Stegostoma tigrinum: one gene and its partners. The protein of the gene in region 1 binds, or shares a complex with, the protein of each later gene. Links are inferred from orthologs where the notes say so. Each region holds a gene or a part of one and is shown in the gene's direction. Other genes may lie near its edges.

Region 1 (8,093 bases):
GAAGTTTATAAAATCATAAAGGGCATGGATAAGGTAAATAGAATAATGTCTTTTTTCCCTGGGGTGAGGGAGTCCAAAACTAGAGGGCATAGGTTTAAGCTGAGAGGGGAAAGAATTAAAAGGGACCTATGGGGCAATGTTTTCACGCAGAAGGTGGTGTGTGTATGGAATGAGTTGCTAGAGGAAGTAGTGGAGTCAGGTATAACATTTAAAAGTCATCTGGATGGGCATATGAATAAGAAGAGTTTAGAGGGATATGGGCCAAATGCTTGAAAATTGGACTATATTTAAATTAGGATATCTGGGTTGGTGTGAATGAGATGGGCTGCAAGATTTGTTTCTATGCTGTACATCTTTATGACTTTATCTATGACTCTAACACTTGGGCCATCAGCAAATGGGAATAGTTTGTATTTATTTGCCCTCTCTAATACAACTGTCACAAACTTGTGCATATGTATCTAACCTCTCCTGCACCAAGGAAACAACTCCACTGCCCTGAACCAACCCTACAACCAAAATTCATCATCCTGGGAACCATCCTGGCAAATTTTCACTGCACCAGCAGCGAAACTTGGACCCTCATCCTTCCTAGAGTTTGGTGACCATAACTGTATACACTGCTCTAATTGTAGTCTAACCAAACCAACTAAGAGTTTATGGTGTCTTTATTATTAATTACGACCTTACCGCGGTTGCCAATATTAATGTATACATAATATTAATGTATATGGTAGGGGGGTAAAATTCTCAAATCCATTATCAAGGACTTCATAGTAAAGCATTTAGAAAGCAGTGGCAGGATCAGACAGAGTCAGCATGCATTTATAAAGAGGAAATCATGCTTGACAAATCTGTTGGAATTCTATGAAGATGCAACTAGTAGAGTTGTCAAGGGGGAAGCCAGTCCTTGTACTATTTTTGGACTTTCAGAAAGCATTTGTCAAAGTCCCACATAAAAAAATTAATGTGCAAGATTAAAGTACATAGGATTGGGGGAAGTGTATTCAGATGGATTGAAAACTGAGTGGCAAAGAGGAAACAAACAATAGGAATTAATGATAACAAGGTGTAGAGCTGGATGAACACAGAAGGCCAAGCAACATCTTAGGAGCAGGAAAGCTGACATTTCGGGCCTAGACCCTACACCTTGTTATCTCGGATTCTCCAGCATCTGCAGTTCCTATTATCTCTACTAGGGTTTAATGGGTCCTTTTGAAATTGGCAAACAGTAACCAGTGGGGTGCCTCAAGGATTGGTGCTGGGACCCCAGCTATTCACAATGTATATTAATGATTTGGATGAGGGAACAAAATGTAACATCTGCAAGTTTGCAAATGATTCCAAGTGGGGTGGGAGGGTGAACTGTGACAAGGATGCAGAGATCCTTCAACATGATCTCGACAGGTTGGGTGAGTGTGCAAATCAATGGCAGATGCAGTATAATTTGGATAAATGTGAGGTTATTCATTTCAGAAGCAAAAACAAGAAGGCAGATTATTACCAGAATGACTATAAATTGGGAGGGAAGTGTGCAGTGGGACCTGGGTGTCCTTGTGCACCAATCGCTGAAGGTAAGCATGCAGGTGGTAAAGAAGGCAAATGGGATGTTGGCCTTCATTGTGAGAGGTTTCAAGTCCAGGAGTTGCAGTTATACAAAGCCTTGGTGAGGCCACACCTAGAATATTGTGTGCAGTTTTGGTCTCCTTTTCTAAGGAAGGATGCTCTCACTCTTCAGGGAGTGCAGCGAATGTTTACCAGGCTGATTCCAGGGCTGACAGATCTGACATAAGAGGAGAGATGGACTAGATTGGGACTGTTTTTGTTGGAGTTCAGACAAATGAGGGGGAAATTTCACAGAGACTTATAAAATTCTAACATGGCTAGATAGGGAGATGCAGGGAGGATGCTCTCAGTGGTGGGTATATCCAGAACCAGGGCTCACAATATGAGGATTTGGGGTAGACAATTCAGGATGGAATTGAGAAGATATTTCTTCACCCAAAGTATGGTGAGCCTGTGGAATTCATTACCACAGGAAGTAGTTGATGCCAAAACATTGGAAGTTTTCAAGAGGTGGCTAGATTTAGCACTTGGGGCAAATGGGATTAAAGGTTATGGGGAGAAAGCAGGATTAGGCTACTGAGTTGGGCCATCATCCATGATTGTGCAGAATGGCGGAGCAGGCTCGAAGGGCCGAATGGCCTCGCTCTGCTCCTATCTTCTATGTTGCTATAAGCTGACAATTCATGATGTCAGAAGGGCTATGCCACAAGATGTGAATTGTCATAAATTGCTGGATGCTTTGCACAATTCAGCTATTTATTCTCATAAAACAAAGCTTGAGATCAGTCCCTCTGTGAGAATCAAGAAACTGCTGGACTTGTACTGTGAGTAAGAATAAATCTCACTGAGGTCTTGTAATTAATGACATAAGGATACTGTTAGTGCTGAGATTATAGGTCTGACATGAAACCTAACCTCTCCAGTCTGGAAATAGAAAGAATTTAAGCTGTGGACTCTCAGTCCAGTTGGTTGTAAATTGTTCCTAAAGCTTATTTTTTTTGTCATAAATTTTAAGTTTCGCTTTTGTCTCCCTCTCTTAGCTCACATTCTCATTCTCTCACTTTGGGGGAGAGGCAGTTACTCTTAGAAGGAACTTCAAGCCATTCGGCACATAAGAGGACATGAGCAGGTGTTCCTCCTGACTGAGAACCCTGGAACATGGCATCCTGCCTGTAGTCATCTAGCCGGCAGTTCCAACATTCAGTCGCACCACAGAAGTTTGTGCCTACTGCTGGCACACCTGAGTCCCAGCTTCAAGGAGTGATGCTGCGAGAAAGGTGGGTGTTGTTAAGACTGGCTCACTTAGTAGGCCCCTTAGTGGGAGGGGCCACCTGGAGACAGGGGAGTGGCTCGAGGTCAGAATCTCTTTTCCTCTCTGTTTTATTTTATCAGCCATCTTGAACTTGACGTAAGAAAACCTGTATAATAATAAGTATATATTTAATAATGAAAAAGTCAATTTTGACACAAAAAACTTACATCTACACAGCACCTTTAAAGTACAATAAAAACACCTCAGGGTTATCCACAGGATACATCTTACTAATGCCCTTTATGGAAGGAAATCCACTACTTTACCTGGTTTGGCCGAGGTGTGATTTCAGATCCAGAGCAAAGGTTTCATTCCTAACTGCCCGCTGAAATGGTTTAGCAAGCCACTTGTTTTCAGGGCAATTAGGGATGGGCATTAAGTGCTGGTACAGTCATCCACACCCAAATCCTATACATGGTTATTTTCAGTCAGATGTTGTTAGAATCTTGCTGCACATTTCATGTAATAAAAGCAAAACACTGCAGATGTTGAAAATCTGAAATGAATACAGTTCTGAAGACAGCACATAAAATGTTAACTCTATTTCTCTCTCCACAGGAGTGCCGTACCTGCTGAATTTCTCCAGGCATATCTCTTCTGTTGTGAGGACAGATCTTTTCAAACAACCTGTTCAAACACCTCTGGAACAGACAGGACTTGAACCTCGGACTCCTGGCTCAGAGGCAGGGGTACTACCACTGTGCCACATAACCCTTAAAATACAAATTGTTTGCAACTTGCATTACCAAGAGAATAATGTTGATATTTTCTAATCAATCTGTTCAGAGATGTTATTACACTGATATTAATTGTTATTAGTTCTGAGGAAGGGTCACCGGACCCCCCACCAACCTCCGGATACAACATATCATCCTCCGACACTTCTGCCATCTACAATCCGACCCCACCACACAAGCTATTTTTCCATCCCCACCCTTGTCTGCCTTCCGGAGAGACCACTCTCTCCGCGACTCCCTTGTCCGCTCCACACTCCCCTCCAACCCCACCACACCCGGCACCTTCCCCTGCAACCACAGGAAGTGCACACTTGCTCCCACACCTCCTCCCTCACCCCCATCCCAGGCCCCAAGATGACCTTCCACATCAAGCAGATGTTCACCTGCACATCTGCCAATGTGGTATATTGTATCCATTGCACCCGGTGTGGCTTCCTCTACATTGGGGAAACCAAGCGGAGGCTTGGGGACCACTTTGCAGAACACCTCCACTCGGTTCGCAACAAACAACTGCACCTCCCAGTTGCAAACCATTTCAACTCCCCCTCCCATTCCTCAGACGACATGTCCATCATGGGCCTCCTGCAGTGCCACAATGATGCCACCCGAAGGTTGCAGGAACAGCAACTCATATTCCGCTTGGGAACCCTGCAGCCCAATGGTATCAATGTGGACTTCACAAGCTTCAAAATCTCCCCTTCCCCCACTGCATCACAAAACCAGCCCAGCTCGTCCCCTCCACCCACTGCATCCCAAAACCAGCCCAGCCTGTCTCTGCTTCCCTAATCTGTTCTTCCTCTCACCCCATCCCTTCCTCCCACCTCGAGCCACACCTCCATTTCCTACCTACCACCTCATTCCACCTCCTTGACCTGTCCGTCTTCCCTGGACTGACCTATCCCCTCCCCACCTATCTTCTTTTCTCTCCATCTTCGGTCTGCCTCCCCCTCTCTCCCTATTTATTCCAGAACCCTCTCCCCATCCCCCTCTGATGAAGGGTCTAGGCTGGAAACGTCAGCTTTTGTGCTCCTGAGATGCTGCTTGGCCTGCTGTGTTCATCCAGCTTCACACTTTGTCATCCGAAACATTAACTCTGTTTTCTCCTCCACAGATGCTGCCAGACCAGCTGAGCTTTTCCAGCAACTTTGCTTTTGTTCCTGTTATTACACACCTCTGGAGCTGGGACGTGAACTTGCACCTGCCAGCTCAGCGACACAAAGAACTGTTTCAAAAAAATGTTAGCAACTTCCATCATCAAAAAGATTCTATACCAACCCGCTCAGAGGTGCTGTTCCACACCCTTAGAAACATACTCTGTCGCTCAGCAATGTGCATGCTTCTCAGCAGAGGCCATATGCAATGCGGCGCAGTTACTCATCCTGCCTAGGGGGCGGCAGCGGCGGCGCCTGGCTTTCTTTTCGTGTCCCTGGGAACGCGTCTGCTTTGGCGAGGTTGCCTGTTGTATGATGGAGAGCGACTGAGTGATGGAGGCACTGAATGAATGAGTGAGTTGGAAGAAGGGAGGAGGTCTTCTTGCTGTATGGGTTTGGAGGGTAGAGGATAGGGATGATGATGATGATGATGATGATGATGGTGGTGGCGGCGGCGGCGGGGAAACCGAAGATACTCCTGGAAGCTGTACATCTCATTAAGGGCCTCAGGCCTTCCTGCAACTTAATCACAAACGTACACCGCCCCTGTTCTTTTTATCTTGGTTAAATAGCCTTCAGGAGGAAATTTGATCTCATCAAAACGTTAAATTTGCTTGCTTGTGGTTTTGATGCAATTAAAATGTATGATTTTACTTAAGTTGCATTAGCATGGTGTGAAGAAAGCACGAAACAGCCACACAGTGACTTCAATATAATAGGAAATGTGTGTGTTTTCGAAATCTTTTGGAGCAGTTGCTGTACTTAAACGTTCAAAAGGCCAAATTTGCTGCAATAATATTGTTATCTGTTGGTTGTGGTGTCTGACGTTTGATTTGTCCACTAGTTATAGTCTCAAACAAAATACGGTGGCTGTTAGAGATCTGAAAGAAGAGGAGTCATTGGATTCAGAGATAGTGGGAGCTGCCGATGCTGGAGAATCTGAGGTAACAAGGTATAGAACTGGATGAACACAACAAGCCAGGCAGCATCTGAAGAAGGGTCCAGGCCCAAAATGTCAGCTTTCCTGCTCCTCTGATGCTGCCTGGCCTGCTGTCTTCATCCAGCTCTACCCCTTGTTATCTCAAAGTCATTGGATTCAAATGTGTTAACTCTATTTCTATCGCCACAGATGTTGACAAACCCACTCCAGCATACACTGTTTTTATTTAATTAGAGTCTCACTTCAAGGTGCAATTATTACCAAGCTCTCCATATTTGGGATAAAATAATGGGAAAGTGTCGGGGATTCTCAGCGGGTACTCCAGCACCTGCGGACAGAGGAACAGATGTAATGTTTCAGGTTGATGACATTTTGCCAAAAACAAAAACAACCAGAGACGTAATGGGTTTTCATTTGAGTACAGAGACAGGGATAAGAGTGAAGAAATGAAAAGCTTGTCTAGAGGAAGTATAAATGGGAATAGCAGGATTATTGTCCATAACTGCAGTCTGAAACAGTTATTTTGTATTCATTAACGGGATGAGGGCACCGCTGGCTATGAGCATTTGTTGCCCATCCTTAATTGCTCAGAGTCAGCCACATTTCTGTGGGTCCGGAGTCACATGTAGGCCAGATCAGGTAAGGATGGCAGTTTCCTTTCCTAAAGGGCATTAGTGAACCAGATGGGCTTTTCCTGACAATTGACAATGGATTCATGGTCATCATTAGATTCTTAATTCCAGATATTTTTATTGAACTAATTTCCAATATCTGTTGTGGTGGATCTTCAATCCCAGAATGTTGTCTGAGTCTCTGGATTAACAATCAAGCGACCATACTACTAGGCCACCACCTCCCTAATAGTGGGAAAACATATATGATCTGAAGTGGTTAAACTCGATGTTGAGTATGGAAGACTGTAAAGCACTTGGAAGAAAAGATACTGGCCTTCAGCTTCTCTGGACAACTGCAGAAAACCGCAGACAATTGAAACTATGTTGGTGAATTAAAATGGCAGGTAGCCAGAATTTTGGGGTTGTGTGGACAACGTGGTATTTGGAAAGACAGTCACCCAATCTGCTTTTGCTCTTACTGGTGAAGAAGAGACTACACTAAGTGCAGTGAATCCTGTAGACTAAATTGAAAGAAGTACAAATCAGTCTTTCAGCTGGAAAATGGGTTTGGGATCTTGGTGAGTGGGAATGCACAAAGGCAGTTCTTAAGGAGAGTCATACTGGACTCGAAATGGTATTTGTCTTTCACCATTGATGCAGCCAGACTTGCTGAGTTTCTCCAGTGTTCTCTATATTTATTTAAGGCAGATACAGTCTTTCACTTACCTGGGAGAATGCCTGTGGAAGGACTGAAGGTGTTGGGGATAATTTGAAGAGTGAATCTGGGGTTGCAGGCAAGACAATCCTTTTGGAATACTGAATGTGAAAGTACAGCAAGGTGCTTTGGTGGTGGAATCACATTTGGGATAGCGTACAATGATAAATTGAATATGGAGACTGATCTATGGAAGGTGAGGACAAAAGCAACTTCGTTATGTCCAGGTATCTGCATTTTTGAATTGCACCTTTTACTAGTTGCAGTTAGTGTGAAACCAAAATGATTTGCTTCGTTTAACAATGATCTGTCACGGAACGCTATAGGTTTGGTACTCTCAGGAACTGACATTTCAGTCATGCTGCCATTTTTGCATTCCAATCATGATTTAGAAGGCAGGACAACTACATCTTTCAATTGCCGCTGAGTTTTATAAGCAAGAAAACTGTCATTTTTTGTGGGGGTGATACTCTTTACATATTGAGATGTTAAAACTTTGTTTAAAAAGTTCAATTTTTTTCTAAGAGTTCACAGGTTTGGAGGAGTTTCCAATTAAATTGTACGATCAAGCCATCAAAGATTGCACAGTGTATGGGGAAATAACCTGTAAATATGGAGCAGGGTAAGTTTCTTTCCATTTTTTAAAGACCATAATTTGTGTCATGGCTCCTGTACAGCATAACTTGAGCACGAGTTGCAGCTTCTTCGGTGCCAGATTTGCTAAACTGCAGAAAAAAGTTTGCGTGAAATTATGTTCTTGTGCAGAAAGCAACACCACTCTCGAGTAAACCCATGAAACAAATGTTTGTAAACTTGCAGTTTAAATGCTTCCCTTGGCTGATTACTGCAGGAAGCTTGCTGAATGTGGATCCTTTTAGTTTACAAAAGCAAGTTGACTTTAAAATACATTGGTTAATTAATTTTTGTATGGTGCCTGAAGGTATTGTGAGAGAGAGAGGGTGAACAGAAACTTGTAGCCACACTAACCTCACCATATCAGGAGGTCAACTGACTTGACTGAGACTAAGGCTGTGTGTTTGTGTTATTGCTACAGGTTC
Region 2 (7,936 bases), on another chromosome or scaffold:
GAGAATCCAAGATAACAAAGTGTGGAGCTGGATGAATACAGCAGGCCAAGCAGCATCTCAGGAGCGCAAAAGCTGACGTTTCGGGCCTAGACCCTTCATCAGAGGTCTGCTGTGTTCATCCAGCTTCACACTTTGTTATCTAAGACTGAAAATGTAGTTGTCTCCAAATACCTTGCAGACTCTTGAGACTCAACATTGTGTTCAATAGAGATAATAATGTGTAGAGCTGGGTGAATACAGCAGGCCAAGCAGCATCAGAGGACCAAGAAAGCTGATGTTTCGGGTCTGGACCTTCTTCAGAAATGTGGAAAGGGTAGGGGATTCTGAAATAAACAGGGAGCGGGGGGGAGGTGGATGGAAGATGTATAAAGGAAAAGATAGGTGGAGAGGAAATGTATCGATCAAAGAAGTGAGGAAGGAGCCAGTAAAGGTGAGTGTAGGTGGGGAATTAGGGTTGGATTTGGTCAGTCCAGGGAAGTTGGACAGGTCAAGGAGGCAGGGATGACGCTGGTAATTAGGAGGTGAGGGTAGGGATTGAGGTGGGAGGAGCGGATAGGTAGGAGAAAGGACAGGCAGGTTAGGGAGGTGGGGACAGGTTTGGCTAGATTTGGGATGCAGTAGGGGGAGGGGTGATTTTGAAACTTGTGAAGTCCACAATGCCATTGGGCTACAGGGTTCCCAAGCGGAGTTTGGGGTGCTGTTCGTGCAACCTTCGGTTGGGAATGTTGTGGCACTGCAGGAGGGCCAGGATGGACATGTTGTCCAAGGAATGGGAGGGGGAGTTGAAATGCTTCACAACTGGGAGGTGCAATCATTTGTCACGAACCAAGAGTAGGTGTTCTGCAAAGCAATCTCCAAGCCTCCATTTAGTTTCCCCGATGTAGAGGAGACCTCATCAGGAACAGTGGATACAATATACCTTGTTAGCAGATGTGCAGGTGAACATCTGTTTGATGTGGAAGGTCTTCTTGGGGCCTGGGATGGGGGTGAGGAGGGAGGTGTAGGGGGAGATGTAGCAATTCCGGCGGTTGCAGGGAAAAGTGCCAGATGTGGTGTAGCTAGTGGGGAGTGTGGAGTGGACAAGGCAGTCAAGGGAGTTCAATAACTTTGGAGCCTGACTCCATCTTTCCACATTTTTTACACCCACCTCCACATCCTGGTTCTGTCATGACATGCGCAGCCAACACATTCTCACCCACTCTTAGTCCTATTATCACATGAAATGATTTGCTTTCAGCACAGCCTACCCATTATTACCTACTCTCTGCTCTCATTACCACTTAATCATCTTCCCTGGTGTCCTGGCCTATTATCAATAACCCCCTCTCCTACCTAGCCCTTTCAAATCTCTCTCTCTTTGGATTCCATCTTCAGCTATCCACTCGCCTCTCCCCCACCACCTCCCAACAATACCTCCTCATCTACTCTGTTGTCTTCAGTGTAAATACCACTTTTACCTGATTTTACCTGATACCTGGCTGCTATCAGTTCTGGTTTACTTCAGGTTTATATGGAGTTTTGACTTCAGAGAACAAGAACACTGCTCCTGGGCTGTGGAAGAACGGAAAACTTCTCTCCATCTGTAACTTAGTCCTAGCTCCAAGCAGTTCAGTTATCTGTAAAGCAATCATAATGCTGTTGGCAGGCAAAAATGTCTCTGTCATTGACAACTGGTCCATAGACCAATTAACTTCTTGTTGCCAGCAAGAGCTGCATTATTACATTCCCTCTGTACCTTTAAGCATCGGAGTTTGGAGGTCATGTGGAGGTTGTTCAGGACATTGGTGAGACCTCTTTAGGAGTACTGTGTGCAGTTCTGGTCCCCCTGTTATAGGAAGGATGTGTTATTAAACTGGACAGGTCTCAGAAAAGATTTACCAGGATGTCGCCAGGAATGGAGGGTTTGAATTATATGGGGAACCTGGACAGGCTGAGATTTTTTCATTGGAACTTGAGAGATTCAGGGGTGATCTCATTTAGAGGCTTATAAAATCGTGACGGGTATAGATAACGTGAAAGGCAGGTGTCTTTTCCCTAGGGTGGGGGCTTCAATATTAGCGAGCATGTTTTTAAAGTGAGAGGAGAATGGTTTAAAACAGACTTGAGGAGCAGAGTGGTTTGTGTGTACAGCGAGCTTCCAAAGGAAGTGATGGATGCAGGTGCAGTTACAATGTTTAAAAGACTTTAGATAAGTTCATGAATAAGAAATGTTTGGAGAGATATGGGCCAAACACAGGCAGATGGGACTAGGATAGTTTGGGTTTACAGTCAGCATGTACTTGTTGGACTGAATGGTCTGTTTCCATGCTGTATGGCTCCATGACGACAGGTTTGCAATTATTGCTTGTTTAGACAGATGTGTGAATGATGCCAAATGTGAGCATCAGGTTACATGCTTTTCAGAACTGTTCCAAACAATAGTTTTTAAAGCAGCTCTTTTTCCATGTCCACGTCTTTTTATCTGGAATGCATTAATGACTTTAGGATATGTGAAAACATTTCATCACCAAATATTTATTTTTAAAGATTGATCATTGTTCCTTTGTGGGAATTATAGCAGTCAATTTGCTCCAATCGAGGTTCCAGAATCAGCATTGTCACAATGACATCATGATGTTTTTGTAATGATGTTTGAAAAATTGGGCCAGAAGTTCAGGGAGAATGTTATAGCTTGATTTAATTGCCCATAGTTACATTACAACCATAAGAGTGGGCAGACTTCACCTCTGATCTGAAAGACAGCGTCTCCTTAAGCATTATACCGGAGTATCAGCGTGGAATCCACCCAGTGCAGGGAGGGGTGGACATGTCAGAGGTCCTTCTGGAGGGTCTGATTCTGGGCCTGGCCAAAGTGGCCATCAGCAGGTTCAGGCAGTGTTCCCAACTGTTGGCCCCTCTTTCACACTTACATCTGTGCTCGGCTGTCCCTGGGGATGGAGCCTGCAGTGCTCACAGGAACATTTGAGTCCTTTGGAGACCTATGGGCAACACATAGGCTAGGGTGCGTCATCAGACTGGACAACGTTAATTTAGTTTGGTAAGATTCTATATTATATATTAATCTGTTATATAAGATTCTGTTCAACTGTTAAATTTGTGTTTTATTTCAACAATGTTTCATTTTTAATTTTGATGTCCTGTTTTGAAAAGTGTGGAGAGAGCTTTGCTCAGTGCTATCCCTGTCCTGGGAGTGTTTGATGGGGGCATTGCTGTCAGTTTAAAAAAGTCCAGTGAACTTTATTTTTGCTTACTTCTAGTCTAGAAAAGTAGAGGTAGGCTTATTCAGTAGCAAACCCCATGTCCTGCGGGTGCTTGGTGGGAACAATGTTGAGTGAGTTTTACTTTTAATTTAAAAGAGTAGAATCTGTGCTCAAGTCTTTGGAGTGGAGCTTGAACTCAGTATATTTTGACCTAGACTGTAAATGGTTGACACCCAGTTGCAGCATGTCCTCATATATGTGACAGTGTTCCACAGTTAATGAAGCACCTTTCAAAACATAGGTATGGTTAGTAAGTTTTCAGATGACACCAAAATTGGAGGTGAAGTAAACAGCAAAGAAGGTTACCTCAGAGTACAATGGGATCTTGATCAGATGGTCCAATGGGTGAGGAATTGCAGATGAAGTTTAATTTAGATAAATGTGAGGTGCTGCATTTTGGAAAGGCAATCAGGGCAGGACTTACACACTTGAGAGTAATGTCCTGGGGAGTGTTGCTGAATAGAGACCTTGGAATGCAGGTTCATAGTTTCTTGAAAGTGGAGTCACAGGTAGACAGGATAGTGAAGAAGGCGTTTGGTATACTTGCCTTTATTGGTTCGTGCATTGAGTATAGGAGTTGGGAGGTCATGTTGCGGCTGCACAGGACATTGGTTAGAACACTTCTGGAATGCTGTGTACAATTCTGGTCTCCCTGCTGTAGGAAGGATTTTGTGAAACTTGAAAGGGTTCAGAAAAGATTTACAAGGATGTTACCAGGGTTGGAGGGTTTGAGCTATAGGGAGAGGCTGAATAGACTGAGGCTATTTTCCCTGGAGCATCAGAGGCTGAGGGGCGAACTTATAGAGGTTTATAAAGTCATGAGGGGCATGTACAGGGTGGATAGACAAGGCCTTGACCCCTGAGGGGAAGGGCAAGGGATTGGAGGAGTCCAAAACTAGAGGGCATAGATTTGAGGTGAGCAGGGGAAGATTCAAAAGGGACCTACAGGGCAACCTTTTCACACAGAGGGCGGTGTGTGTATGGAATGAGCTGTCAGAGAAAGTGATGGAGGCTGGTACAATTACAATATTAGAAAGGCATCTGGATGGTTGGCTATAAAATAGGGTGGGATTAGAGGGATATGGGGCAAATATTAGCAAACGAAACTAGATTTATTTCGGATATGTGGTTGGCATGGACAAGTTGGACTGACGGGTCTGTTTCCGTGATGTGCAGCTCAATGACTGTAATTACAGTCACAGGTGGGAGTGCAGGAGTATATTGACATAAAGAGAACACCTTTTCTCACTTTTGAACAATGGCATAGAATTTTTTTATAGGCACTTAAGACCCCAAAATGGTTTGGCCAGTCATCTTAAAGACAGCGAAAAATGATAATTCTATCAAAAAAAAGTTTCTTTTTTGCCTGGCAAACGTAAACAAGATAATGTTTGAGGGTATTTAGTAGAATATTGTACGGAGTTCTACTTGGTTGGTACAGATATGGATGGGCTGAATGGCCTGATCCTTTACTCGAAAGGCGAATGATAGTTTGCACATTGGGAATTGGACGAAATTTATGAATGGAGCCCAGTCAATGAAACTGCGCATGTGCGACCGCTGCGTTTCCCACGAGCCGCCACGCGTGGCGTTTGGCGTCACTTCCGCTACAGCTAACGGGGAGTCTGGAGGTTCGGGAGAGGGAACCAGCCCAGACCGGACTGGGAACACGCGACACCGGGATTAACGGACCGGTAAGGGGGCCGGGAAGGGGATAGCAGACCGACAGCAGCACGGCGGACACCCAGTAGTAAAACACAGTTTGGGGTGAGGTGGAAGCACCACTGGGAATGGCCCACCTGGAGTGACGCACCGGGAAAAGTGTGATCAACACCTGGGAATACAGTAAGATACACAGGGGACCAGGAACACACGCTGAGACGCTCCATTGGTGGGACCTGGAACAATACCGAGAATATACCAGTAAGATATACCAGGAAGACACTGATAAGACACACCAGGGGGTACTAGGAAACCATACCAGTAAAATATGGCGCCAGAAATAACTTGGGGCAGGGTTGGTTGGGGAAGAGGACCGGGAACACTACTTGGAATAACACACTGCCAACACTCACCGTTGTTAATTGTGACAGTAAGGTACACCAGGGGAACTAGAAACGCACCCTAGGAAAATACTGGTAAGGCACACCATTGTGAAAACACATCAGTAAGACTTACAAGTGAGACAGCAGGAATGCACATTACTGAGATGCACTGGAGAAAAAAAATTGGTGAGCCACTCTAGGAGGGAGACTGGATGTATACCAGGCACGTGCACCAGGAAAATACTGGTAAGATATGGAAGGGTAAGGCACGCCAGGTAAATTCTGGGAGATAAGTAAGAACCACAATAAAGGAGTAAAAATACCAGGGGAATAAGAAAGAAGCACCAATTAAAAGGGGACCTGGTAAAAGTGTGAAAATACCAAGTAAGAAACACAGGTTGAAAACACTGAGTAAATGGTTTAAAATTCCAGAGGGGAGAAAACCAACTTAAAATGATGAAACGTCAGGGACTGGATATGAAACAACTGGTTTATAACATTTGAGGACTGGGTTAAAAACGATCAAATAAAAGTATTGGGTAATAAACACCAGGTAAAAATGTAAAAACCATCAGGGGATGGTGAGAATTTCCAGGTGAAAGTACTCTATTTGCTTTCTTCCTATGTCCTTTGATCACTTTAGGCCTAAGAACTATCTAAGTCCTTAAAATGTTCAATGTTTTGGCCTCAACCACTTTGTGGCAAAAAAATTCTACAGGTTTGCCACTGTCTAGCTGGAGAAATTACTCCTTATTTTAGAATCTGTTGTTAAGAAAGTAATGAGAGGAATTTTAAGTCAAAATAAATCATGTTTGACTAATTGCTAGAATTATTTGAAGATGTAACAAGTAGTGTGGATAAGGGGAGGGGGAAGGGGGTTCTGAAATAAGTAGGGAGAGAAAGGGAGGTGGTTAGAAGATGGATGGTGGAGAGGATTTGCTTTGGGAGAGACCCCCACTGAGGTTTTTCCGGAGGGAGAAAGGTAACTTCTTCGGAGTAGGCATCCTAAGAAGAGGCTTCGCAGTGCGATTAAAATTGTTTGAGATAGTAGGAACTGCAGATGCTGGAGAATCTGAGAAATACAAGGTGTGGAGCTGGATGCGGGTCTAGGCCTGAAACATCAGCTTTCCTGCTCCTATGATGCTGCTTGGCCTGCTGTGTTCATCCAGCTCTACTCCTTGTTCTCGTAGTACTATGTCTAGACTTCCAGAAGACATTTGATAAGGTGTTGCGTAAAAGCATAATAATATGCAAGCTGAGTTCACATGGGTTAAGGGTAATTTATTTGTTTGTATAGAGGATTGGTTAACAGCAGTAAGCAGAGTTGAACCTCTGTCTCTATCTCAGGCAACCAGCTTGAAACTGATGTCCATTTCAAGCCCACCGAATCCCACAGCTACTTAGAATACACCTCCTCCTACCCACCCTCCTGCAAAAGTTCCATCCCCTATTCCCAATTCCTCCGTCTCCGCCGCATCTGCTCCCCTGATGAGGCATTCCACTCGCGCACATCCCAGATGTCCAAGTTCTTCAAGGACCGCAACTTTCCCCCCCACAGTGGTCTACAACACCCTTGACTGCATCTCCCACATTTCCCGCAACACATCCCTCACACCCCGCCCACGCCACAACCGCCCAAAAAGGATCCCCCTCGTTCTCACATACCACCCCCCCAACCTCTGGATACAACGCATCATCCTCCGACACTTCTGCCATCTACAATCCGACCCCACCACCCAAGACATTTTTCCATCCCCACCCTTGTCTGCTTTCCAGAGAGACCACTGTCTCCGTGACTCCCTTGTTCGCTCCACACTGCCCTCCAACCCCACCACACCTGGCTCCTTCCCCTGCAATGCAGGAAGTGCTACACTTGCTCCCCCACCCCCACGCCCCAAGATGACTTTCCATATTAAGCAGAGGTTCACCTGCACATCTGCCAATGTGGTATACTGCATTCATTGTACCTGGTTTGGCATCCTCTACATTGGGGAAACCAAGCGGAGGCTTGGGGACCGCTTTGCAAAACACCTCCGCTCGGTTCGCAATAAACAACTGCACCTCCCAGTCGCAAACGATTTCCACTCCCCCTCCCATTCTTTAGATGATATGTCCATCATGGTCCTCCTGCAGTGCCACAATGATGCCACCCGAAGGTTGCAGGAACAGCAACTCATATTCCGCTTGGGAACCCTGCAGCCCAATGGTATCAATGTGGACTTCACCAGCTTCAAAATCTCCCCTCCCCCACTGCATCCCAAAACCAGCCCAGTTTGCCCCCTCGCCCCCTCGCCCCCTGCACCACACAACCAGCCCAGCTCTTCCCCTCCACCCACTGCATCCCAAAACCAGTCCAACCTGTCTCTGCTTCCCTAACCTGTTCTTCCTCTCACCCATCCCTTCCTCCCACCCCAAGCCGCACCTCCATCTCCTACCTACTACCCTCATCCCACCTCTTTGACCTGTCCGTCTTCCCTGGACTGACCTATCCCCTCCCTACCTCCCCACCTATACTCTCCTCTCCACCTATCTTCTTTTCTGTCCATCTTTGGTCCACCTCCCCCTCTCTCCCTATTTATTCCAGAACCCTCACCCCCATCCCCCTCTCTGATGAAGGGTCTAGGCCCAAAA
Region 3 (7,661 bases), on another chromosome or scaffold:
CTGAGAAGAGTGAGGAAGAGAAAAGCTAGAGAAAACCTGCTGCCCAAGTGCGACACTAATAATTACTACCCAATTCCCCAATCATCAACAGGTCCACATCTTACTGACTCTGTCACTGACCATTTCATTCTCTGCTTGCAAAAGTACAAAGAGAAAACTGACCACAAAAGAAAAATTCTGAACAAATTTTATAAAGAAAAATCACCTCAGCAATGAGTCCAGTTCAGATTCCAAAAACCGTGGAGCCACTTTCTTCCACATAGTGCCTTCACTTTTAGGTGCCCAGTCAGACCTATTTCCGGCATGATGGCTAATATCTACTCCAATCACAATGCATTTTCCCTTTAAGAGGTACAGACTAGCTTTATTTGGTGCTGGCAAATTATGAATCTGGGGCCCCTAGTGATACATTGATTACAAGCAGCAACCATTCAAAGACTTGGCAGCAGAAACTTGGCAACTTGTCTGCATTATGTTGATTAACTTGTGCTCAATCACACATAATAATTCCTGTGCACTTCAGGGGCTATCCAATTTAGCCTCTTTACTCTTTTTGCTCATTTAATTTGAATGCATACAAACCAGTTGAAAAGTAAGAAATTATATAGGGAAGAATTTTCAACACCAGAAACAACAACAACAAAACCAGTTCCGAGGAAGGGTCACCAGACCCAAAACGTTAACTCTGTATCTTCCTTCACAGATGCTGCCAGACCTGCTGAGTTTTTCCAGAAACTTTGTTTTTGTTCCTGATCTACAGTATCCACAGTTCTTTCAATTTTTTATTAAGAATTTTCTACATTTAGTCCCTGATAGAAAGTGACACTATTTGTAGGTTGACAATGTAATTCATTAATTGCTGGACTTTATCCAGACCTGCAGTATTAATATCTACTTCTGGGTTCCCCACCCATTGGGGAGAGTGGAATGTTTGCATATCCATTTTGTTAAAGGTTTTCTAATTAAAGGGACCACAGTACGAGTGAGAAAATCTCACTAAGATTTGCATTTTTGAGTCTTCAGAAACACAGAAATGAACAAGGGACATGGGAAGGTTGCTCCATGAGTCTCTGACTCTAAACTTGAACGTCTACTGATTGAGATGAGGGGCTGCACTGAGAAAATCTCTTCCAAGAACTGGAGGAAGTGCTAAATCTCTCCACCTGGAAATGATTGAGGTAGTCCGTGGCAGATGTAGTTTCTCTACCTTGGACAAAATGTATTAAGGGAATTCAGGTCCACAGGAAGGCATGGCAGGTAAATGGTACAAACATTTTCAGATAACACCTGTGCTCTGACTTGCCTAGATTTCTTCTGCTCAATACTCTTCAGGAAAACACACAACACAGAGCCATACATTCCTCTCTCCAAAGGCATACTACATCTGAGCAGCCCACACCTCAAATTCTCCACGACCAATTGTCTTTTCACACCAGTGTCTCACAATTATTCTTACTCTCCTTCCACCCTTACTACTCAAACAGTTATACCTCTCTGCCTTCTCACATTGTAAGAGAGCACACAATGTGGCAGAAGACAGAGACCGAGGAGGGGATCGATGAGGTAGTGTTGTTGGTGGGTGTGTGGATGTACTTGGATGGCCTTGAGTAATAATTGCCTTATTGACCACAGGCAATAAATGCCCTGGATGTCTTCTTGTATGAAATCACAAGTGTCACCTGACTTGACAGCCCAAGTCTTCTGAGAGTCTCCCTGTCCTGTGATATTGCAGCAAGGCCCAAATCATGTTTTAGAGAGCTAGGTGAATTGTTAAGTAAAAACACATGATCAATCTAGCGTTCTGGACTAGTTTTATTGTATACAATAATAAGAATAACTTCCAGATCTTTCCATTCCAATGGTCTTGAATTATTTTTTTGCCACTCCCAGGAGTTGAAGTAGGTTGCTCTCACAGTCCCAGGGGCAGGCTTAACCTACCCAATGTTATTTTAATACTAGCATTTTCACATGCTTAAATGTTTGCAAAGATCTTTCTTCACTATAATAATGACTTTTAATCATACAAGGACATGGGTTGGTGTATGGTATGCATAATAATTTGTCAGCCTTTGACAAAAATGCAGTAAAATATTTAAGATCTCTTGAATTTTGTAAAAAGACTAAGAACATTATTGCTCAATTGCTTGGGTCAGTTACATCCTTCTGAAATAAGTAGTGTACAGGGAAATATATCGCTGGAAATAGGGTGACTAATCATCTGGGAATGAGATTTTTCATAATAGGAAAGGGAATTAAGACAGTAACACTACATGTGAATCAGAAATGTGACAACAAGCAAGAATATAATTCCAAAGAATGCTTTTTGACAATTCTGATTGATTGTTCAATGCTAAAGTGAAATTAATGTATTTTAGTTTCAACATATACCTCTAGATTATAAAGAAACAAATGAGATTGCCCTAGTAGAATCACCACCAAGTGATTTAGAGAGTTGATAGAAATGAAGCTATTTCGATTAACGTTTTTATTTGCAGTTCTTACTCCTTACAGATTGTTCACCTATGGCAAAGCTTCCCAAATTAAAATTCGAAACAAGCAAGCCGATATTATGCGGTCTCAAGCTCTGAAGCAGCAGCTGGTCAATCTAAAACTATGCGAGTTTTTTATAAAGATGCCTATACTGCCACTGGAACCACAAACGGCAGACACAGCCCACACAGTCTCTGCCAGAGACACCACAAACAATTTTCTGTCTCTAATAATAGGACTGAGAAAATGAGTGATTTTCAAATGTCCTAAATCAATTAAAATCCTAGGATCATGTTTTGCTCAATGCCACCTTCCTATGAATGGAGGGAGCAGTGCAGCAAGCAGAAGGGAGGCAGCAGAGTCAACAGTAGGGCAACTAGTGTGGGAGCAAGTGATGTAGTAGAGAGCAAGGTGCCAAGCACAGCACCAAATGGAATGAGTGGCAGGGGTTCCTCAGGCAGCACTATTCATTTACATGGGATTCTACTTCTAATTCTAAGCACTTACCAATGACGTGTGAGGTATTGACTTCCTGTTCACAGCAGTGGAAGGAGATACTGATTTTTTGTTTTAATTTGTCCAGAGGTTATTGGGCATTGTACTTATTTTGTATATTGATTGATATATTTTAGTTTGCACATTATTTCAGCTGGGAACAATGTTTCACCTTGTGCATTATTTTTCCCAAGACAAGAATGCTTTAAGGAAAATAACTTTAGATGTAACAATGATGAGACAGAGTAAAGTAGAAAAATAGACAGCTTAGTGGCATGATGTGAAAACAAAAGTCTTTCCCTCAATGTCTGCAAAAGAAGGAGCTGATCATTGACTTCAGGAAGCAGAGTGGAGGACACACCCCTGTCTGTATCAATGGTGCTGAGGTGGAGGTGGTGGAGAGTTTCAAGTTCCAAGGAGTAAATGTCACCAATGATCAATCCTGGTCCATCCATGTTGATGCTACAGTCAACAAAGCACACTAATGCCTGTACTTCCTCAGAAGGTTAAGGAAATTCAGCGTCCACAATGCTTCTTACCAATTTTTATAGGTGGGCCATAGAAAGCATCCTATCCAGATGCATCACAGCTTGGTATGGCAACTGCTCTACCCAAGACTGCAAGAGATTACAGAGTCATGAATGCAGCTTAGTCCATCATGAAAGCCAGCCTTCCTTCCACTGACACCGTCTAGACTTCTCACTCCCTCTGGAAAGCAGCCATAAAAATCATTTATTCTATCTTCTACCTCTTCCATCAGGTAGAAGACACAAGAGTTGAAGACACAAACTTAAGACAGCTTCTTCTCTGCAGTAGTCAGACTTATGAATGGATTTCTCATATATTAGAGATGATCTTTCTCTGAGCTTCTCTGTAGCTGTAACATTATATTCCGCATTCTGCTATTACTCTGACATATTTCTGTGAGGTGTGATTTGTCTGGTTAGCATGCAAAACAATACTTTTCACTGCATCTTGGTACATGTGTCAATAATATAATAAAATCAGCATTGATTCCAATGGGACTCTATAATTCACTTCACAAATTTAATTTATGATTTTTTTAAAGAAACACAACTTTGAGCGAGGACATATTATGTTTTACTTCCAGCACCAGGAGAGTCAAAACAGGAACAATAGCATAGACTACCCGTAGGCAGTCTCAATGAACTGGAGTAAGCTGAACTCAATAACGAAATTACAAAAAAAGTTATTTCTCCACCAAAACGCAGTGCATCGACGATAGCTACATAATACAGTGCATGTGGATAAAATTATAGCCCATCATTAACAAGAGTATAATCTCCTACTTTCACAATACGAACGTTTCTGTATCATCATTTCTACAGAACAAAAACCCTCAGTAACATCACTTTACGTAGAAACAAAAAAAAACTGCAGATGTTGGAATCCTAAGGTAGACAAACAGGAAGCTGGAAGAACACGCCAAGTCAGGCAGTATCTGAAAGAAAGGAGTAGTCAACATTTCCAACGTTGCCCATCGAAATTCCACTTCAGCATACCGTCACCGCGCAGTCGCTTTACCGTCACTTTACCGTCCGCCGTTTAAGCGCAGGCGCATAACCGTCCCTTTACCGCCTTCCATCATTGCGCAGTCGCATTACTGTCCCTTTACCGTCCTCCGTCATTGCGCAGGGGACAGCATGCAATGCTGTACGTTCTGGTTAATATCGTACACACCGGTTACACAAAACTGGTACAGCGACGGTTTAACATGAAGTGGATTGACGCTTCTACCTCTAGGTGGAGTATTTGATGGAGGGGAGCTGTTAAAAATCTGGACAGGGCGGCACAGGGCAAGGGGAAGGTGGTGATTGGCTACCAGTGGCCATGTGATATTAGGAGGTCATGACCCTGAGGTTGGTGAGTATGGGCAGTTTGAGGGAGGGGAGAGAGGGTTCTGGCCTAATGCTGACCTTCCAACACGATCACTGTGACTAGCAGAAAGTACATATTATTCTTCATATGTGGTTTAGCCGTGCCTTGCCCTAAGCCTGTATTTCCATTCCCTGCAATGGGAAATATATCTGAAATCCGGCTGCATCAGTAGTATGACATAAAATATGCCAGTTCTGGAAATGAGCCTTAATTATTTAACTGCAGTGAGTTATAAATATTTTTGCAAATATTATGTTCCATGTTCTTTGCTGAAAATAGCCTTTACGATTGTCTGTCATTTAGTTTTTCCATTTTGAGATCTGATGAACTGCTTTAAGTTTGCTTTTCAGTTTCACTGATGTCTAGGCTGTCACCTTTGTGTTTGCAAAGTAACTTATCACAGCTTGTCTTGATGCACCTTTTAAAAATAATTTCAACTGAAAATTAAAGCAAAATAGTGCAGATGATGGAAATCTGAAATAAAACCAGTTATGAAAAAATTCTTGGAACATTAACTTTTTCTCTCTGCACAGATGCTACCAGACCTCTTGAGTATCTCCAGCATTTTCTTGTTTTCTTATTGAATTGATTTAGTTAGGCCACTGCAGCAACAAATTGGAACATAGCATCCAAAATTTTGAAACAAAAACAAATTGTTGGAAAATTTCAGCATGTCTGGCAGCACCTGTGGAGAGAAATCAGAGTTAATGTTTTGGATCCAGTGACCCTTCTTCAGAACTGATAATAGCTAGGAAAATGTTTGTTTTTATGCAGAAAATGTGGTGGGAGAGAGGATAAGGAATAAACAGTAGGCAGTACAGTGGCTCAGTAGTGAACACTGGTGCCTCACAGCGCCAGGAACCCGGTTTCAATTCCAGCCGTGGGTGACTGTTTGGAGTTTGCACATTCTCCTTGTGTCTGTGTGAGTTTCCTCTGGGTGTTCTGGTTTCCTGCCACAGGCTAAAGGTATGCCGGTTAGGTGGATTGACCTTGCCAAATTGTCCATAGTGTCCAGGGATGTGCAGGTTAGGTGAATTAGACATGGGAAATGGTATCAGAGATAATGGGAACTGCAGATGCTGGAGATTCCAAGATAATAAAATGTGAGGCTGGATGAACACAGCAGGCCAAGCAGCATCTCAGGAGCACAAAAGCTGACGTTTCGGGCCTGGACCCTTCAGCTCTGATGAAGGGTCCAGGCCCGAAACGTCAGCTTTTGTGCTCCTGAGATGCTGCTTGGCCTGCTGTGTTCATCCAGCCTCACATTTTATTATCTTAGACATGGGAAATGCAGGGTTACAAGGATAGGGTAAAGGGATGGGTCTGGGTAGGGTCTCTTCAGAAGGTCAGATGGACCTGATGTGTGAAATGGCCCTCATCCGCACTCTAGCAATTCTACAACATGTAGAGATACAGCCCATAGAGGGAGAGAAGAAGAGTTGGACTGACAAAGGAGTGGATGCTGGTCAGCCTAGGAGAATGAATAGCTGCTAATGGGGTCTAGTAGTGGGTAACAATGGGTTGTGTGTAATAGCAGAGCATGTGATAATAAGGCCTGGTGTGTGTGGATTAGGGTAAGGTCATGGGAGAAGGTGCATGAAGCCCTAAAATTGTTGAACTCGATATTGAGTCAAGAAGGCTGTAGAGTTCCTAAGCAGAAAGTGAGGTGCTGTTCTTCTAGCTTGCGCTGAGATCAACAAGCCTTAGACAGATGTTGGCCAGGGAACAAGGCTGTATATTGAAATGGCAGGCAACTGGAACCTAAGGGTCTTTGTCTTGCAGACAAAACGTGGGAATTCTGCATTGCAGTCTACTTCATTTCTCCAATGTAGAGGAGATTGTGAGCAGTGACTACAGTAGACTGGATTGTGTGAAGTGCAGGTAAATGCTGCTTCACCTGGAAGGCATTTGGGTCCTTGGATAGTGAGGAGGAAGGAACTAAACAGGCAGGTATTCCACCTTCTGTAGTCGCAGGGCAAGATGCTGTGGGAGGTTTTGGGACTGGAGGAGGAGTGGACCAAGGTATCCTGGAGAAAATAGTCCTTTTAGAGGACTGACAAGGAAAATGAGGGGAATATCCAAAACTTGGAGTTTAACTCCATCCAACACACAACAGGCCTACCTTCATCTTTCTTCTAGAGGAAGGACAGCATCCAGTGTGACTTACAATTATTGTTTTGGTGTGTTAATTTCTGTTTGAATCACTGATACAAACAACACTTTAAGAATTTCATTCTCAAATCAAAATACTACTAATTGCTTTTAAATCAGTTTTTGTTTGACATTTTGGATCCATTTCTGCCTGCGAAATAGTAGAGGTACCTTCAGTAGGTTTGGCCATAAATCAGGCACCAAACCAGAATAATGCTTTAAATGGATACTCATCCAAACATGTGCAAAGTCTCTAATAATGAAATAAAGAGAGTTAAGTACCTGATTATTCAGATATCATAATCACTGACTGTAATGTGTATTTTACAACAGTACACTTTTCAAATGCAAACTGATCTAAAAATTTAAGATGGTCAGAAACAACTGTTTTCTTAAAATATATCTGCAGGGAGTGATGATGCATCATTGTCTTTCAGTTCTGAACTCTTGCTGTTTCATTTTCATAGATAGTGAATTTTGTCCCTGGCAAATTAGATATAAGTCTAACTTTTTTAAAATAGTGTGGAGAAAAGCGTGACAGGAATGAATTTTGAGGAAGATTTGATGCCCAGGCAATTGCCTGTGGATGACTGGGATACCATTGAAGACTTTGATCCTAGTGTGCC

Evidence for each region.
Region 2: gemin4 (region 1) and strap share a complex: the UniProt entries of both Homo sapiens proteins name them as parts of the SMN-Sm complex. The link is inferred for Stegostoma tigrinum from reciprocal best matches to the Homo sapiens genes GEMIN4 and STRAP.
Region 3: gemin4 (region 1) and gemin2 share a complex: the UniProt entries of both Homo sapiens proteins name them as parts of the SMN-Sm complex. The link is inferred for Stegostoma tigrinum from reciprocal best matches to the Homo sapiens genes GEMIN4 and GEMIN2.

What each region holds. Positions count from the first base shown.
Region 1 is NC_081380.1:34,515,326-34,523,418, forward strand, and holds the start of gemin4 (gem-associated protein 4), read left to right. Parts: upstream 1-5,029; 5' UTR 5,030-5,120; intron 5,121-7,560; 5' UTR 7,561-7,647; coding exon 7,648-7,657; intron 7,658-8,093. UniProt on the Homo sapiens protein: The SMN complex catalyzes the assembly of small nuclear ribonucleoproteins (snRNPs), the building blocks of the spliceosome, and thereby plays an important role in the splicing of cellular pre-mRNAs.
Region 2 is NC_081378.1:42,720,733-42,728,668, forward strand, and holds the start of strap (serine-threonine kinase receptor-associated protein), read left to right. Parts: upstream 1-4,839; 5' UTR 4,840-4,954; intron 4,955-5,053; exon of another isoform or gene 5,054-5,183; intron 5,184-7,936. UniProt on the Homo sapiens protein: The SMN complex catalyzes the assembly of small nuclear ribonucleoproteins (snRNPs), the building blocks of the spliceosome, and thereby plays an important role in the splicing of cellular pre-mRNAs.
Region 3 is NC_081363.1:55,507,796-55,515,456, forward strand, and holds the start of gemin2 (gem-associated protein 2), read left to right. Parts: upstream 1-4,610; 5' UTR 4,611-4,654; coding exon 4,655-4,749; intron 4,750-4,755; exon of another isoform or gene 4,756-4,869; intron 4,870-4,875; exon of another isoform or gene 4,876-5,108; intron 5,109-7,556; coding exon 7,557-7,661. UniProt on the Homo sapiens protein: The SMN complex catalyzes the assembly of small nuclear ribonucleoproteins (snRNPs), the building blocks of the spliceosome, and thereby plays an important role in the splicing of cellular pre-mRNAs.